3 linked regions of the Oryzias latipes genome follow. The main gene of each other region encodes a partner of the protein of the gene in region 3 in a complex. Links are inferred from orthologs where the notes say so. Each region holds a gene or a part of one and is shown on either strand. Other genes may lie near its edges. The genes, in order: vti1b, bet1l and syntaxin-4.

The links.
Region 1: syntaxin-4 (region 3) and vti1b share a complex: the UniProt entries of both Homo sapiens proteins name them as parts of the SNARE complex. The link is inferred for Oryzias latipes from reciprocal best matches to the Homo sapiens genes STX4 and VTI1B.
Region 2: syntaxin-4 (region 3) and bet1l share a complex: the UniProt entries of both Homo sapiens proteins name them as parts of the SNARE complex. The link is inferred for Oryzias latipes from reciprocal best matches to the Homo sapiens genes STX4 and BET1L.

Annotation. Positions count from the first base shown.
Region 1 is NC_019880.2:1,875,748-1,880,037, forward strand, and holds the start of vti1b (vesicle transport through interaction with t-SNAREs homolog 1B), read left to right. Parts: upstream 1-1,439; 5' UTR 1,440-1,647; coding exon 1,648-1,744; intron 1,745-2,669; exon of another isoform or gene 2,670-2,692; coding exon of another isoform or gene 2,693-2,732; coding exon 2,733-2,791; intron 2,792-3,549; coding exon 3,550-3,747; intron 3,748-3,821; coding exon 3,822-3,995; intron 3,996-4,290. Other genes in the region: retinol dehydrogenase 12, read right to left, coding at 186-400. UniProt on the Homo sapiens protein: V-SNARE that mediates vesicle transport pathways through interactions with t-SNAREs on the target membrane. These interactions are proposed to mediate aspects of the specificity of vesicle trafficking and to promote fusion of the lipid bilayers.
Region 2 is NC_019864.2:3,554,394-3,557,263, forward strand, and holds the end of bet1l (BET1-like protein), read left to right. Parts: intron 1-1,770; coding exon 1,771-1,938; 3' UTR 1,939-2,311; downstream 2,312-2,870. UniProt on the Homo sapiens protein: Vesicle SNARE required for targeting and fusion of retrograde transport vesicles with the Golgi complex. Required for the integrity of the Golgi complex.
Region 3 is NC_019877.2:19,255,745-19,259,837, reverse strand, and holds the start of syntaxin-4, read left to right. Parts: upstream 1-1,159; 5' UTR 1,160-1,321; coding exon 1,322-1,351; intron 1,352-1,687; coding exon 1,688-1,795; intron 1,796-3,161; coding exon 3,162-3,261; intron 3,262-4,093. UniProt on the Homo sapiens protein: Plasma membrane t-SNARE that mediates docking of transport vesicles. Necessary for the translocation of SLC2A4 from intracellular vesicles to the plasma membrane.

The sequences.
Region 1 (4,290 bases), on a different chromosome or scaffold from region 3:
TTTCTGATTCACTCAAAATTCCGTCACCGTTTAGCGGATTTGAGACAAAACTCACACCGAAATCAAAGCGGCTGACTCAAATAAACACCTCTGGGGTTAAAAAGCAAAGCCAGCCTCCGTGCTGATGACGTCACAGCAGTGCAGGTACCGCGATGGGGGGACAGCGGGTCCCCGCTGCAGCTCACCGTATGTGCGGAGCGAACAGCAGCAGCAGCAGCGTCACCACCCCGATCCCCGCGATGATCACCAAGACCCACATCTGAGCGCTTCCACGGGCCTCTGCCTCCGGCCGGACGTCAGGGATGTGTGGGCAGAGCGGGGCTGAGCAGCTGATGTCAGGGCTGGAGGGGCGCAGCGGCACCGAGAGCGCACGTGCAAAGGATTGTGGGATTGTAGTCATTGTTGTGTTTTGTAGTCCTTTACATTGGAGGTCAAATACAAAAAAAATGTTGTTTTTTAATTTCACGTAGCAGCAGGAAAGATTAGAATGAATGCCAAAAGATATATATACAAACTAAATGTGTTTAAAAAACAGTAAGAAAAATCGTAAAGGATGAGTGAGAAACGGTTCATTATAAAGGAATACAAAACTATAGTTTAATTTAAGAAATGTAATGCCAGAATTCGAAGTAAAACATGGAAAAATGTCAATTATTGTAGATTGAATTTTGTAAAAGAAATTGGAAAAAAAGACAAAAACATATAAACACAACAGCTAAATCTAAATCCTCCCACAGCCTTATATTTTGCAAAAAAAATTTAAATAAATGTATATACATTTATATGATTTATTATCATTTGAACAATTATTATTATTATCACTAGAATCAATTACCATTTAAGTTGCCGTTATCACTTCATAAAACTGAAAGCTGCCTCTGGTTATTTCTGTATAACATTTATTTAGAATATCTATTGCATTATTATACGTTGTCCTCGAACAAAATAAGATAAAACATTCAAATAATATTAACTTTTTAAAAACTAAAAATGCATTTTCAGCACAAAAACTCAATTTGTAGTGAAGGTTTTATTTTATTTTTACAAATATCCTTTTATTTATTAAAATAATAGTAAGTTGAGTAACACATATACCAGTAGGCCTATTTGAATCAGTTGCAAAAATTGAATTATAGAAATCGCATCTAATTTAATTTTAATTGTACACATAAATTTAAATCAAAACATTTTCTTTCTTGTAACTAAAGATTCAATTTAGAACTCTTCTGTTTAACGAAATCAATAAACTACACTTCCCAATTTCCCCTGGAGCCAATGTTAGGTGTCTATTTAACTGCCTGACTAGAAATCTTTACTCTTTTCCCTTTTAAAATTCCGATAAGCAATATTGTGTGATACAGTTCATAAAAAATAAATTTAAAATGGTATCTTTAACACTATTTTAATTTTTAAATGTGTAAAACACAACCGATTATTTCATTCTTTTACGGAATTTTAGTCCTTTTGGTCACGAGGACCATCATGCGGAAGAATCCCGGGTTCTGATGATGAAGGAAGCAAAACAAACAGATTATCTTAACCTTTCCACCTACAAAAAAACCTTTTAAGACTCTTGAATATATCTATATTCAGGAGGAGCAATAATAACTGTATTCAGGAGGAACTATCCGGGTTGATCCCTGAGAAATGTCGTCGGAGGAATTCGAGAAGTTGCAGGAAATCTACAGATCTTTGTACGAGGAGCTGAAGTTAATTCCTGACAGAGCCGCGAAATGTCACGGAGGTAAACGAGGATCATGTTCTTTGTTGCTCATTGTGTTCTTAAAATCTCACTAAAAAACAAAGTGAAAGAGGTTTCATTCAAGATCATTCATAGGTTTCATCCAACAAATCAGTTTATGCAAAGGCTAAAAACAGAAAAACTGTTCTTTCTGTTTTCATTTGAGGAAACGTTGTTGATGCATATTTTTTGGGACTTGCATGGAAAAAACATCTTATTTGGTTTCATTAATTATGATAATAAACATTCGTCTTAATTTGATTTAACGAATCTCCTGATTTTACTAAGTATTTTATTCACAAAACTAAATTTAGCAATAAAGCTCCCAATTGTTTTGATTGATCGACTTAAATTAGATTTTACTAACAATCCATTTCCCCCAATACAAACAAAGAAGCAATTCATACTTGTCATTTTGCTCAGGTTTGTCATTTCATATAACTTTATTTTTGTATATTTATCCCTCTGGTGTTTATAATTGATGTACAAGGTAATGGTCTTTATTATTTACTGTACGTCTCCTGGGTTATGAATGAATAAAACTAACAAAATCTCACTCTGATCATCTTTTGATCTATTTCCAAAGTCGTCTTAAATTATGATCATGTTTTTTTTTATTTAGCCAAGAAGCTGTGTCGTTTTCTAGGACAGCAGTTTGTTAGAAATTTGCGTCAGAGTTGTGGGCGGGACTGTCGGCAGGAGTAAGCCCACCCCCACTTCCCGTCACCCGTCTGTTTACACGCTCTCCTGCTTACAGCCTCTCACACCCTCAACCTGACGTTACAGGTGCAACACATCGCAAATATACGTTTTTCAAACTGCTTTTTTTTCCGTCCGCTCCCGATTCACAACGATTTGAATAAAGAATTACTCAGAAAGGCAGTTATAAGCTACATGTTATACATGTCCCCCATCGTTTTCATGGCAGTGGGTGTTTGAAAGGATGGATGGATGGAAGGAGCCTCTGTAACCTGTGTGCTCTGGTCTGCAGAGGAGAGGAAGAGGCTGGTGAGGAGCTTCGATGAGCGGCAGGGAGAGGCTGAGGAGGTGGTAAGCAGATGTCCTCCTTCCTGACGGCTCACATTCATGGAGTCATTTTGCGGTTAAACACAACAGATGGCACATTCATTATTAAATATTAATTTTTAAAAAAGGCTTTGAAAAAATCAAACTGGGGTTTTTGGTGCTACAGTCAAGAACCAGCGAAGACTTGAAGTCAAAGTTCAAATATTTGGTTGCGTTTCACACACAAAAATAAGAATATTTGATCAAATTTTGTTCATCTCTTCCTGTTGGAGGGAAAACGAGCTTCTAGTTTCACATGAAGTCATTGTGCGTTTATCAGCTGATTAACCTTTAATTTCTTTTTTTCATACTGTTTTTACATTTATTTGAAATGAACAGTGTGATTATGGTTACATGGTTTGCATGCAGCTTTAAGTTTAGTTTTCTATTTTAAATTTCTTTTTGTTCTTTTCATTCATTTGAAATAAAAGAAAAAAATGTTTTATTGTTTTTTCCCCTCTTTTTTATTTTTATTTTTTACAGCAAACAATACCAAAAAAAAGAAAAGCAAAGAACAACAAAACAAACAAATACCCTGCAGATTTTACAATTAAATGTTCAAGTAGAGGTTGACTTGTCTATAGAAATAATCCATTAATGGTTGCCATGTCTCAGGTGTAATTTCTTTTTTAACTGAAGAGTTAATAATTCCATTTTTCTTGAACCTTGTCGGCGTTTCTATAGTCGTTTCAGACGCTAAAATCCATCTTTTTGATCAAATGGACTTGGATTTTCTCTCACAGTTGCAGGGCATGGAGGACGAGCTCCGTGCGGCGCCGGCGTCCTACAGAAACGCCATGAGCACCAAGCTGCGTCTGTACCGCAGAGACATCGGCAAACTGCAGAGGGACATGAAAACCTTTGCTCCCGGCTTCGGCCCCGCCCCCCTGACGTCTCACGGCGACCGCCAGGGCCTCTATTCACCCGAGAACCAGCAGAGTGTGAGTGTGGACCTTCACGCCTCACAGGTGTTCTGGAAACCTCCTGACTTCCTGTTTGTCCCTGGGGGGTGCAGACACACCTGCAGTCGCAGAGGTCGCTGCTGCTTCAGGGGACGGACTACCTGAACAACGCCACGCAGAGCATCGAGCGCAGCCAGCGCATCGCCGTGGAGACGGAGCAGATCGGTACAGACATCATCGAAGAGCTGGGGGGGCAGAGGGAGCAGCTGGACCGAACCAGAGACAGAGTGAGGCCGCCGCCTCCTCCTCCTTTCCTCCTCCTCCTTTCCTCCTCCTCCTTTCCTTCTCCTCCTTTCCTTCTCCTCCTCCTCTTTGTCCTCCTGCTCCTTTCCTCCTCCTCCTTTCCTTCTCCTCCTCCTCTTTGTCCTCCTCTTCTTCCTCCTCCTCGTGTTCCTCCTCCTCCTTTCCTCCTCCTCCTCCTTTCCTCCTTCTCCTTCTCTTCCTCTTCCTCCTCCTCTTCCTCTTCCTCCTCCTCCTCCTCCTCCTCCTCCTCCTTTCCTCCTCCTCCTTTCCTTCTCCTCC
Region 2 (2,870 bases), on a different chromosome or scaffold from region 3:
CCAGTGAAGATCACAAATCATTGAAGAAAAAAGGTTCAGAGCACTGTCTAGTGGGTCTAGATGACCCAACTCCCAATGGTAAAGTGCCTAGGATAGCACAAGGGTTACGTTAACAGTCTCAATACGGATTGTAAAGTGCAGCACGTCCGTCTTTCTCTTGTTGCTTTGACCCGTCCTCGTAGTTCCTGGCCAATGACTGAAGAGATCTTTAGTCACATGGTTTTGTTTACAAGCTTTGGTCTGGAACAGAATGGTCTGCTTGATGAAAGTTTGAATACAGACCAAACACAAGGTTTGGGACTCGATCCGGAACAAAGAATTTTTTAAGTCTGAATACACCCTAAAGAAAGTTAGGTTTAGCCTCGTATAGAAAATGTCTACATCCTTTACGGCATGGAAAAGCTCTTTCTGGTTCCATTTAACATCCAAATCCACCTTATTCTACCATACAAACAAAACTGGCGGAAGATGGTAGCAGATGCGTTTCAGCCGGAGTTACTCTAAACCAAACGACTACCCAACCCAAATCTAAAGGCCCGTACACACCGGGACGAATTTCGCCCGCGATATTCGCCGACGTTTAACGCCTCGTGATTAAACAAAGGGCACCAATGTGAGTGTGCACACCGACGCGAAAAAACGCCACGCGTCAAAGCGTCATGTTTTAAAAAAACGCCTCGGGTTCTTTTTTTTGTACGGGCCTCGCCGCGCGTCAAACTATTCGACCAATGAGAATGGCGCTTTTGCACACGTGTCTGGAGCTTCTGAAATTACAGTAAAACACAACTTGGGGGCGCTCAAACACAAAACTGCCTTGCTGAGCACACATACCAGCGAAGAAGATAGACGCCAAGTAGCGTCTACACTGCCGCGAAGAAATAATGACGGACATTCTAAAATATCCCCGAACCAAGCACCAGTTGGAGCAACTGGTGCTTGAAATATTCATGTTTTCTTTGTATGATTCTGAAAAACGCGTAAATACTTGCTCTCTTCTTCTGAGTGAAAAGCGACTTTAAGAAGCGTAAAGTTGCGCAGCGCCACCTTGTGTACAGGAGTATTTCTGTTTACATTAAGCGCCATTTAATGTCAGGGAATGAAATTGCATGTTCGCTCGGCTCATCGTCAGCGAAAATCGCCTGGGTGTGAACACAAAAGACGTGGCGAAAGACGCTGGCGAATAACGCCTGGCGAATATTCGTCCCGGTGTGTACGGCCCTTAAGACTGAAACGACTTCTGTCCCAGGGATGTGGTTTGGATATAAGACTGACTGGGACCAGACGACGGGGTTTTGTAAATATTGTGACTCCCTTCCAACACAACAAACCTATTTAATCAGCAACGATAGAACTACGACAAAAAACACAGTGTATGAGCTAGAGCCGCAGCATAGAGTGATGACATAAGCACTCAAAAAGGTTCAGACACCGTTACAGTGTGCACTCGTACACGTTAAATATTCTAATAGCATAAGTTAAAGATCTTGATTGAAAACAGGTTCTAAATAAAATAAAGATTAAGTTCCAACTAACTTTGTTTAATACTGCATAACTGTCAAACTGCACTTTACTGCACAACTTTATTTAAACTATTTGTTTATTGAATTTACAGACAAAATCGGATTTTGCAGAATATTGATACTGGGATATAAAACGAGACATTTTGGTCATATTTCCTAACCCTACTTCTGAAATGGTTTAGCTGGTCACCAAATAATTAAGATTCAAAGACTTCCAGCAACAACAACTAACTTCTTCTCCCTCTTTCAGGACTCAAATATGATGAGTGCAACAGGGCTGCTGACCGGAAGCGTGAAGCGTTTCTCCACAATGGTTCGATCCGGCAGAGACAACCGCCGCCTCCTCTGCTACGTTTCCTTGGGGCTGGTTCTCATCTTCTTCATGCTCTACTACCTGGTTTCCAGGATCCAGCGGTGATTTCAGAAAAACCTTCTCAGCCAGAGACCTACGGATGATGTGAAGCTGAATCTATAGAGTATAGATCCAAGTTTACATGCAAGGAAGAGGAGTTTTCTTCGAATCCCCAATGGAAGGAACGCCAGACTGATAATCAGAGAGGTGTAGAGAACTCCACTGATGTTGTGGAAACAAAAACCTTACCTTCACTAAAACCCTTCTTGTTCCAACTTGGGGACACCTCACAAGAAAAGATCAGCTCTGCAGCACAGGGGAAGTCAAAGTTTCTGAGCCAAACAAAAAATTATAAATTGGCATCACATGTCAATGATGCTGACAGTTACATACAAGTGACCCCAGACTATGTCTCCATTAAAAATCTACAACAACTGAAGCACTTTATTATTATTAGTTAAAGATTACGCATGATATCACTGCAGAGAAGGAAAGTCCAGAATAGTGAAAAAGGTATCAGCTGTTTTTTTATTGTCCTAAATTCCTTTGGAAATATTTGTTTTTCTCTCTCTCTGTTCTTCTTGCACACATTTATTTTTATCAGTTTTTGTCAAACGAGTTGAAGTCCCACTCCGATCACCTTTTGGTCTATTGTAAAGGTGTTACCCGTGGTCTTTTATGATGATGCGGTTTTCAGCCAAAATCAAAAAGCCTGTGTCATTTTCAAGGACATAGTTTCTGCAGAGCGCCAGGAGTTCATCAGAAATCAACCTCTGAGTCGTGGGCGGGGCTGTTGGCGCACACACTCCCGTTCTAACATTACTGGTGCAACAAAAAATGGCGAGCAATATTGCAGCTATCCAGCTGTACAGTTTGCATCCAGAAAACAAAAGTTCATGGATGTATTTGTCTGACAGTGGATGAATCTGAATGGAGAGCTGCTCAGTGGATTTTTTACATATTAAATACAATCTTTTCCAGCTGATTGTTTTGATCTG
Region 3 (4,093 bases):
GTGAAACTCTTGGGAGGAAACCGACTATCTTAGCGTCTTCCCAAGATCAGCATGAGAACTATGTGGTATCTGTGTCAAGACCGGAATCAAAGGACGCTCTGTGTCAGTTATCCGTGAGAAAAGGCTTTGCAGGTCCAAAGATGATGTGGGGAGACTGTGATAAGATGGACATGTTGCAATTAATATTTTCTGATGGCGCTGCAGTTGTGTTCAATCTGTCTTCCACTCCTTAGAGCTCAGCGCATGTGTAATTTAGGGAATTCCCAAAAAACTTAATAAAAGAGGAGGCGACAGAATATGTGAAAGAGTGGAGAGAGATTGTTGCTGGGTATTATCTCTGTTCACTCTTATTTTAACTCTTGTTTTAATTTTTAATTTGACAAAATGTTTGATTCATATTATTTTGTTCATATGTCAAATGAACAACAAAGTATTATGGCCACTATAAAAGCAGAAAAATTAACATTTATATATGAAAAAAGGTGTAAAATACAAAAAGTTTACATTTTAGAAGAACTAAGAAAACAATTACTACAAAAACGTCATGCAATTATCAAAAAGAAATTTTACAATTTTCAAGAATAAAGTCATATGTTTAAACTGTAAAAACTTGCAATTTTCAAAGAGATGTCATGCTTTTTTTCTTAAGTAAAGTGTTAAATTTAGTTTTTAAAAATTTTCAACTATGACAATTAAATGGTTCCTGTTTAAATGATGTTGCAGAGAAATTTGATGAATATCTATCACTTTGATTATGATTTTTTCTTTTTTGTTTTCTTTTTTGTAATTGCACAACTTTAGTTTCATGAAGTTATAACCTTAATTTAAAAAAACATGACTTTTTCCTTTTTAAATAATACATTTTCAACTTTATTTTTGGTAAATGTTGACTTTTTCCCCACAATTTTACGACTTCGTTCTCATATTTATATTATAATTTCATAATCATATTTGCTATTTATTCTTATTGTCAATAGTAATATAAAATAATAGTATATAATCATAAGTAATATAGTAATACTCTGTCAATTCTAATACTCCGTCGTACAAATATAGTATGGTTCTGGCTATTCCAATTGAATTAAACCAAAGCAGGTTTTGTTGCCTGTAGTAAAGGTGTCTGTCACAAGGGGGCGCCATCGATTAAATTCTGTTTGTTTGAACCGCAGAGGAAGAACTGTGAGAACTGTTGCTCTGGAGTTAAACTTGCTGAATGACAGCAGTGGAAAGTCCGCAGCTTTTGTTGCTTGGGAACCGTTGTCCTTCCTCGGCCGCGTGCTCGCAGCGTTTCCGACACCAACTCTGAACATCGACATCAAAAATGCGGGATCGAACAAAAGAGTTAGATAATGTAAGTTTTAAAGTTGGTGTGTTAGCAATAGCGTTAGCTTGCTAACCTAGCTGTATTGATTGTTTAAGTGAACTTTGAAATGCTTCGGTCTCTGATTATTTATTAACTGTAAGCCCGCATATGAGAGCAAAACAATATACCCCCCCCCCCCCCTTATTTTCTACGCTTGGAAGCACTTGTGGCGATATTGCTTTGCTAACGTCCGCTTGAGTTCTTCCTCCAAGGAAGCTGTCAGGCCGGGATAAGGGCAGGGCTCCCGGCTGCAGATCTGAACCGGCACCTTCACACAGCTCTGTTTCATCCTCCTCTTGTGTGTTTCTGTCCACCTCACCGCAGAAAGCCGAGGCCTCAGATGAGGAGAACGAGGAGAAAACGGCTTTGATGAGCAAACCTGGCAGCTCTTCAACAAAGGAAGATAAGGAGAATGAGGCTTTTTTCAAAAAGGTGATCATCCAAGTTTTCGATCTGGGCTCCTCCAAATGATTTGTAGTATTATCAGATACCGGATGTCCTGGGAAATGCTCCTCCAATGGGCCTCTGCTTCATGTTTATGAGACAGAGGACAGAGCTGAAGGTTTAGCTGTAACACACACAATTGTTTTGCCGACATTAAATTCTCCTCTAATCCCAGAACAAAAGGAAAGTAAATAAATATAAAAGGTCAACTATGAAGCTTTAAATATGAGTGAAACATTAACGGACAACAAACACTGGCCTGTATGTAGGGCTGCACTTAACAATATAAATAAAAGACTTTTAGTGGAAAAATGCAGATGTCCATAAAGTTTTGACATTTTAGTTGATTGTAGCCATCTTTAGTGTGTAAGACCTCCACTTATTATTTGATGCTACAGTTTACCAACTGTCCACGAAAGCAGCATTACTTTTACAGTGAGGGGAAAGAAATGCCATGTTTTATTTTGAAAATCTCTGAAAAGAAAGTTTAAATAAAGTGTCATAGAAGCTGCTATAAATTATGATCATGATGTTCAACTTGTTGCAAACTGTAGTTATAATGATCTAGAAGAGAAACATTAAAACAGAAAGAAGTAAAGAGAAGCATTTCCATATATTATCACGGTTTAACTTTTTAGGTTTTTTAAGTTTTGATTGAACTTTAATTGTTTGGAAAAAATAATTTCTATGCTAAGCATTTCCCCCCCCCCAAACAATAAAAGGGCTTTAGCAACAGAAATCCTCTTTTCAGGTTTTTATTTTAGTTTGGCTGAGTGAAAGAGTCAGACGGACACCAACAATAACACACAGTTGTTTATCCAACTGACTTTTTTCTCACATTAGAAAATCTTAGGATACTTTTTGTATCAGTTAAATGAAACATGTTCAAAGGTGTTGGTTTGTAATAATGGTGTTTCTATTTTCTCCAAATTTCTTTATATTTTTAAAATTCAGATGTTTTTCTTTGAGGGAGGCTGGAGTCAGATACCATCAAGATGGCAAAAGTTTCTGAGCATGTCTTTCAATCCAAACCATTTGTGAGGAAATCAAAATAAACTAAGTAAAGAGAGATGAAATCATAAAGTCAAGGCAGTTATGGATTTTATTTAAAGTCAAGGATCCATTATGATCTATAAACCTTGAGAAGATTCTAAAATAAGAGTCAGCAGAGGGATCTTTGTTCTAATATTTCCTTGGATTTCTTTTTTTTTTATACAAACACTGCATTTCCCAACCCATTAATTGAAGTTTTCTGATCAAAAAAGGTCAGGATGTTACAGTTGCAGTTAAAGCTGTTTGTCTGGGAAGATGATTTTGCCTGTTAATCCTAAAACTTTACAAACTTCTTTCTAAGGTGCAAGAAATCCACGAGGGGTTGCAGAACTTAAAGAGGATGGTGTCAGAGCTGGAGAACAAACAGAAGACGGTGCTGGGCGTGGCGCTGCCAGAGGAGAGTACGTCAACTTTATGAATTTGATAAATTCGTGTTGCATTTTGTAACAGAGGATCAGTGTAGTTGCACTTTAGGATTAGAACGACGTTTCTCCAGATTTTTCACAGGGATCCCACCAGAGTAAGGCGGGGCTAGTTGGGGGCGCCTTTCCAATCAGATTTTTAGGCTCAATGAGGGCACCAAATATGTTACAGATTAGTTTTCTCTATTGGATCGCAGTGAACATGTTTTTCTTTGTCGTCTTCTTCCAAAATGCAATTAAGGGAGCTCCTTTCATGAGGGTGTCTGATGCTTCTCTGCTGATCAATCAACTCCTGATTTAGTGATTTTTCTCAGTGGCAGATACTTTAGCACACAAAGGTGGTCAAAAATGAAAGGAATATAATAATAAAAAACAATTTTTTAAAAACATTTTTATGAATATCTCCTTGTACTTTGGTTTGTTTTGGGCCAAACACATGGCAGGAGCCCACAACTTGTTTGTACCGTCCAAAATGTCTCTGCTGGAGCTGTGAAAGAAATAAGAAATACAAACATAAATTCCTCCCTTCTCTCTGTCTTTAAATCCTAACGTTTACTCACAGTATCAAGACAAAAATAAATCATAAAAAAGAGGACAATTATTTTGACATTTTCAACACACCCTTCTTCTTTCTCTTCTCCTTTTTTGTTGTTTCTTTTTTTTTTGTGGTAAATGTGTTGAACTGATGCAGCTAACTTTAGTGGTATTTCGTAGATTTCCACACATCTTACAAAAAAAATGTCATCCTGAGACTCCAGTTGCATTCAATTTCTGACGTTGTGTGTTTTATTTCGACCACGGCGTGCTGCTC